Saccharomyces cerevisiae S288C: one gene and its partner. Each later gene encodes a partner of the first gene's protein in a complex. Each region holds a gene or a part of one and is shown in the gene's direction. Other genes may lie near its edges.

Region 1 (3,086 bases):
ACAAGTTTGTCAAAAGCACGAGCGCGATGAGAATTAAAGTCAGATCTGGTTAATGATTCTGGTACAACAGCAGAAACAAATCGAGTACAAATTTAATCTTATTCTGTCGCAATAGTTGACTTTCTTTTCTGGCCTCTCGAACAAAAAGCATGACCGTTTCCAACATTGGGGGGGAAGAACGACTAATAATTTTACCAGACGATTATGAAACTTCGAAAACTATAAACACTTTTACACTGCCGCCACCTTCCAATATTACATCCAAACCTCGTATCGAGCTCTTCGAAAATATTAATGGAAAACTTTACGAAATAAGATCTTTTCAATTCGGCAAAGGGCCCTCGTATTCACATGAGGAAGATTTGGCAAATGATAAATATCACTATACTAAGGAAAATCACCCGATCAAATCAACTTTCATTGTAAATACGTCTGATCCCACCGATGGTTATGTTTTTAACTCAAGCAAAATACACTTTTGTTCTTTATACGATATTGCTTTTAGTTTGATTGGATTTTACTATAGAAACAGTGTTTCAGCAGATGAACAAGATTACTCCAATTCAAGTGATACTGGTGAAAACCAAAAAAGCAACAGCAAAACCAATGAGAAATTTCTTACGGTGCGTGATTACCATGATTTCTTAACGGATAACCATGACAAGAATTGGGAAAACATTTCTTTAAGTCGTCTCAAGAGTGGCTTAGCAAAAGTTAGTGAAACCATTGAGGAAGCTGGTGACGTCTATTACAAGATCACATCTGCAATGATAACACAATTTTTGTTAGGCAAGGTATCAAAAATTGTAGAAAACTTTCCTCCAAGTATCCCTACACTTAAAAATGCCCCAACGGAAATAAAACAGTGCTACAAGGTAGTTATGGCTACAAATCTTTTAGTTTCCCTGATTCCAAGGGCGGCCTACCATAATTTACTTACCTTTTCACCTACAATGGATAGTGGTTGCCTAAATCCGGATATAAAAGCTAGCTTCATAGAACTCGAAAACTACGAGACTACGAACGAATTACAGAATGCTGAAAGAGAATTACTGATGAAAAGTGCCATGAATGTAGGCCTAAATTCGAATGGCAGGGTTTCATTGCCAGTGAAAAAAGTTACCAAAAAAATAGTTCAAAATAAAAAACCAAAAGTAGCCATAGGAAAAGGGGCCATTGATGGATTTTTTAAACGTAAGTAGCTAGTATCATAATTAAACAGCAATTTGAATGCTATAACTCGGTGGTGATGACCTCAGTGCGAGATAATTACACAATATTGTCACTACCAACGAATGGGCTACCTTTTTTTTCCTTTCTCGAATTCAAGAAAAAATTAACAACTTTTCCCTCGATGATGTTAACAAATGTCTGAATATAAAGGAATAGGAAACGGTTGCTAGATTGTATTTACCTTACCAACTTTCAAGTTTTTTTTCTAACTTCCTAACTTTCAGTCTCGATACATTAATCAACAGGACGTAGTGATTGCAAAATTGTTCAGAATATACATTAGATTAAAAGACAAATGGCCAAAGACATTGAGATATCCGCATCCGAGTCAAAATTTATCTTAGAAGCACTGAGACAGAATTATAGGTTGGACGGCCGCTCCTTTGATCAATTTCGTGACGTGGAAATAACGTTTGGTAAAGAATTTGGTGATGTTAGCGTAAAAATGGGCAACACCAAAGTTCACTGCAGGATTAGTTGTCAAATAGCACAACCATACGAAGACAGGCCATTTGAAGGATTATTTGTAATATCTACAGAAATATCTCCTATGGCTGGTTCTCAATTTGAAAATGGAAATATCACGGGGGAAGATGAAGTTTTATGTTCAAGAATAATTGAAAAATCTGTTAGGCGGTCGGGCGCATTGGACGTGGAAGGACTATGTATCGTTGCTGGCAGTAAATGCTGGGCTGTGAGAGCTGATGTACATTTCCTGGATTGTGATGGTGGATTTATTGACGCTTCGTGTATTGCCGTCATGGCAGGATTGATGCATTTTAAGAAACCAGATATAACTGTCCATGGCGAGCAGATCATTGTTCATCCTGTTAATGAAAGAGAGCCAGTTCCACTAGGTATACTGCATATTCCAATATGTGTAACTTTTTCTTTCTTCAATCCTCAAGACACCGAGGAAAACATAAAAGGTGAGACTAACTCAGAAATTTCCATCATTGATGCAACATTGAAAGAGGAACTACTGCGAGATGGTGTATTGACGGTTACGCTAAACAAAAACCGTGAAGTGGTACAAGTTTCCAAAGCGGGTGGTTTACCAATGGATGCGTTGACGCTAATGAAATGTTGTCACGAGGCTTACAGCATTATTGAGAAAATAACTGATCAAATACTGCAGCTTTTAAAGGAGGATTCAGAAAAGAGAAACAAGTATGCAGCCATGCTTACATCTGAAAATGCCCGCGAGATCTAATATTAACGAAAAAACTGAAATAAAAGCAACGCTTATACATATACATGCATGCATTAATATATGTATATATATCGGTACGTATAGATTGTAAAATTACACTTACTACTAAAGGCAGTATGAAAGACGCCCGCAGTTTTTTTCCTACTGTTTTCTTGACTGCGGTGTTCAAAAACATAAAAATCATTAAATTACTATAAAACAAACGCATACTGCGAAGAAAAAAGGCTCGGCTATAAATGCATATGAGAAAATATTATCTTTTGCCTCCCTGCTTAATTTCTGAAGGCATGTACTATCCAAAAGAAAAATCTTGAAAGAAAACAAATCCCATTATTCTTATTATTAAAACAAAAACTTCGTCATCGTCATCACATAAAAAAGACCTACCATTGTCAAACTGTACAACAGCAACACAATAATAATGACGATGATGAGTTCCTCGAGAAACCCTAGAACGGCGTTATAACACTGTTTGAGGGTATTACTTTTTCCACTACTCTCGTGGCGCGGAAGACCTGCTTCCAAATCTACTGTGTAATCAATACACTTAACCTCCTCTCTCTCCCCTTGTGCGTCAGAAAACTCTGCCTGTCTTATTTCCTTCTCCTGTTGTCCTATTTTCAGTACATCATCGATGCAC
Region 2 (3,331 bases), on another chromosome or scaffold:
AGTGAAAAAAAAAAATAGGAAAAAAGATAAAGAGATGACAGAAAGCTAAACGCTTACAAGAAAAATGATGGATCGTAAACACGCAATCCAACAAATCGGCGGTGATGGTGATGATGAATCATCTCCGGAGGTTTGAAACTTAGAATCTGACATTTTTTCCCGCTTATTTTTGCGATTTTTTTTTTTGGTAGGATCAGGCGAGGTTGAACATCTCCCACGTTTCTCATTTCTTGGCTATTAAGGAGCCAAGAAATGAGAAAAGGCGAAAAAAAAAAAAAAAAAAGAAAAAAAAAAGTGTAAGTATGCCACATCTAAGAAGGGTGGCTACCACAAGGGTGCAGAGATTGCAGCAGTCCTTGCTTTCTTCAATTTTACTACTTCTTGTTACTCCTAGTCCGTGTGCTTGCGCAGATGTAAGTTGTGTTGAAACAACAAGCAGATGTAGTGGTCCCTGACGCTGGTTCCATCGGAAGATCCGATTCATTGTTTCCTTCTCTCCCTTCCCCGCTGACTGAGCGGAAAAAAAGATAAAAAAAAGAAGAAAAACCGGTGCGGGGCAGCAGGCAACTAAGAAAAACCGGAAAAAGGGTTGGCGTCAGATCGCTAGCAACGAGATTCCTCTTTTTTTTTCGATTTTTTGTTATTAGAGGAAGACGGCGCGACTGAGTCAGGCCGTAATCGGAATGGAAAACCGGGCGGCTACCGATCTTTGTCAGTGAAGAATATAAGATATGATGATTTCGTATATGTATATGAGTGTGTACATGTGACAAAAAAGATTGGAAACTTTAGTACATCCGCAAATAATGGATGGCAGTTTCATACCCCCAGAAACTCACAAAAGTGGTGGGTATTGTCTTGGAAAGGGCCACCAGAATACCTCTGTAAAGCGAACTCACACCTTCTTGTTTCAAAATCTGTAAACCGATTCTTGCGAATCCGTACCCTTTATAAGAACCGTATACAGACGAATGACGGGAGAACTTTTCCAGATGCTTCGAATTCATGAACTGCATTCGCCTACGGATCGTTTCGAGGGGGAAAGTAATGATCTTAGCAATGACGCCGCCAATGGTACCAGCGCTGTGATTTAAAGTAGCCAGTTCCCATTTTTTATGCGCGGCGGTCGTTTTTTCGTTTTCGTCACAGTATATCCTGATTGTTTCGTATGTTCCGAACATTATAGATGCGGTTAGAGTTATGGTTGTCATTGACGCGATGGAGCCCTTGAAAAATCCGGGGAGACCTTCTAGTTTCCAGATATCACGCACTTCTCTCGTGATGCTCATTGAGTGCATCTGGTTGTTGGCAACTAGTCGGGTCCGTAAAACATCGAACGGGTAGGAAACGATGGAACTGGTTATGCCAGCAAAGGCTCCGACAACAAGACTATGTAAGCGCGCCTCTAGTCCAAATGGAGTTAAATATCTATTAAAAAGGGAGTATGAACTAAACTGCGCTGAGCCATAGGTAACGTACAGCAAAGAACCGGGTATGTTACCCTTCCAAAAGGACCGGATGCCTTCGTTCTTTATCATGCTTCTGGCCACCTCCATGACCTGACTTCCGAAGGGCTTCAGCCCATTTGCAGGGGTCAATTGCAATCTGATCTTAATGGTATCCATGGGAGCAGTTATGCTACGGGCAAGCAGCCCGGATACGGCGCCAGCCAACAAAGTTTTCCACGCGGCCACATTTTGCCCTTTTCTTAACGAGTCCTCCTCTTTGAACATATCAACATTTATGTACTTTGAATGGTTTATATAAAGCTCCAGACTATGCCAAGTTAAAGGTGACAAAATAGCGCCTTTTCTTCATAAAGACTATTATGTACCTCTCTTTTTCTTTTTACTACTTTTTTTTTCCTTTTAAGCGCATCGGATTGTGGAAAAAAGAGTGGAAAATTTGTTAGATGAACCAGTTAAGATGCATAAAATATCTCTGCATATATGGTAATAACAAGGAGCCCAATACCAAGAATAGATTAGATTCTGCTGAAAAAAAAAAAAAAATGAGCGTCCAAGCAGAAATAGGGATATTAGATCATGTAGATGGTTCATCTGAATTCGTATCACAAGACACCAAGGTTATTTGTTCTGTAACAGGCCCTATTGAACCAAAAGCAAGACAAGAACTGCCTACACAATTAGCATTAGAAATTATTGTACGTCCCGCGAAAGGGGTGGCCACAACAAGAGAGAAGGTACTCGAAGATAAATTACGGGCAGTTCTGACCCCACTCATCACTCGTCATTGTTACCCAAGACAGCTCTGCCAGATAACTTGTCAAATTCTGGAATCTGGTGAAGATGAAGCCGAATTCTCCCTGAGAGAGCTAAGTTGTTGTATAAATGCGGCATTTTTGGCTTTAGTTGATGCAGGAATTGCCTTAAATAGTATGTGCGCAAGCATCCCTATTGCAATAATCAAAGACACTAGTGATATCATTGTCGATCCCACTGCCGAGCAATTGAAGATTTCGCTCTCTGTCCACACTTTAGCTCTGGAGTTCGTCAATGGCGGTAAAGTCGTGAAAAACGTTTTATTGTTAGACAGCAATGGTGATTTTAATGAAGATCAATTGTTCAGTTTACTGGAGCTGGGTGAGCAAAAGTGTCAAGAACTTGTCACAAATATAAGAAGAATAATACAGGACAATATATCACCTCGTCTAGTTGTATAGCCATTATAGATTATAATATACCACAACATGCTATGTCGTATGCCGGAGACTACCTCTTATATTTGGAAATAGTTATTATTCAATGTTCTAAAATTCTTAACATTTTCGTTGTTACATATACATAGCATATATATATATATATATTACATTAATTTTTATCTACCTTCAATCTACAATTTCAAACGCTTCAAGTTTTCAATAGTAGCTTCCAAACCTTCGATTTCGGCAACAGTGTTATCCAGCTTGCTTTTATTGGCTTCCTTGGCCTGTGTATTAGCCTTTGTTTCGTAATCCTTACTGTTAATGGTTTGTTCAATACCGTTCTTGGATTTTTTAGCCTTTTCAAGTTTCTTTTGAACTTTCGCAATTTCAGCATCAATATCAACGTGTCCCTTGACGAGAAGATGTACATTGACTTCTGGGTTAACAGATTGCAATACGCAACCTTCTGGAATTTCGGAAGCATCACGAACAACAGTGACTTCGTCGATGGCCTTGATCAACGAGACAATAGAATCTTTCTGATCTTCAGCAGTTTTGAAGTATTCCTCGTGGTTAGATTCAACGAAAACCTTACCATTCTTCAAAATATTGTACTCAGATAACAAGGAACGAGCTTCTTTGGTAATGTTCAAGACCAAGTCGTAA

What was found. Proteins that work in one complex are often made in the same cells at the same time.
Region 2: the proteins of RRP45 (region 1) and RRP46 are in contact, whole or in part, in a crystal structure (PDB 5OKZ), measured with the Saccharomyces cerevisiae proteins. Residues at the interface, in NP_010566.1 of Saccharomyces cerevisiae: Lys3 (codon at 1,535), Asn53 (codon at 1,685), Lys55 (codon at 1,691), His57 (codon at 1,697), Arg59 (codon at 1,703), Ser61 (codon at 1,709), Ser80 (codon at 1,766), Glu82 (codon at 1,772), Ile83 (codon at 1,775), Ser84 (codon at 1,778), Pro85 (codon at 1,781), Met86 (codon at 1,784), Ala87 (codon at 1,787), Gly88 (codon at 1,790), Ser89 (codon at 1,793), Glu92 (codon at 1,802), Asn93 (codon at 1,805), Arg135 (codon at 1,931), Asp137 (codon at 1,937), His139 (codon at 1,943), Leu141 (codon at 1,949), Asp142 (codon at 1,952), Cys143 (codon at 1,955), Asp144 (codon at 1,958), Leu225 (codon at 2,201); in NP_011609.2 of Saccharomyces cerevisiae: Ile9 (codon at 2,036), Leu10 (codon at 2,039), Asp11 (codon at 2,042), His12 (codon at 2,045), Val13 (codon at 2,048), Ile27 (codon at 2,090), Cys28 (codon at 2,093), Ser29 (codon at 2,096), Thr31 (codon at 2,102), Ile34 (codon at 2,111), Glu35 (codon at 2,114), Lys37 (codon at 2,120), Glu49 (codon at 2,156), Ile51 (codon at 2,162), Arg53 (codon at 2,168), Pro54 (codon at 2,171), Ala55 (codon at 2,174), Lys56 (codon at 2,177), Gly57 (codon at 2,180), Val58 (codon at 2,183), Ala59 (codon at 2,186), Leu87 (codon at 2,270), Gln89 (codon at 2,276), Thr91 (codon at 2,282), Cys92 (codon at 2,285), Gln93 (codon at 2,288), Leu95 (codon at 2,294), Glu96 (codon at 2,297).

What each region holds. Positions count from the first base shown.
Region 1 is NC_001136.10:1,019,219-1,022,304, forward strand, and holds RRP45 (exosome non-catalytic core subunit RRP45), read left to right. Parts: upstream 1-1,528; coding exon 1,529-2,446; downstream 2,447-3,086. Other genes in the region: RNH202 (Rnh202p), read left to right, coding at 150-1,202; PHM6 (Phm6p), read right to left, coding at 2,789-3,086. UniProt on the Saccharomyces cerevisiae protein: Non-catalytic component of the RNA exosome complex which has 3'->5' exoribonuclease activity and participates in a multitude of cellular RNA processing and degradation events.
Region 2 is NC_001139.9:675,023-678,353, reverse strand, and holds RRP46 (exosome non-catalytic core subunit RRP46), read left to right. Parts: upstream 1-2,011; coding exon 2,012-2,683; downstream 2,684-3,331. Other genes in the region: thiamine transporter TPC1, read right to left, coding at 789-1,733; VAS1 (valine--tRNA ligase), read right to left, coding at 2,854-3,331. UniProt on the Saccharomyces cerevisiae protein: Non-catalytic component of the RNA exosome complex which has 3'->5' exoribonuclease activity and participates in a multitude of cellular RNA processing and degradation events.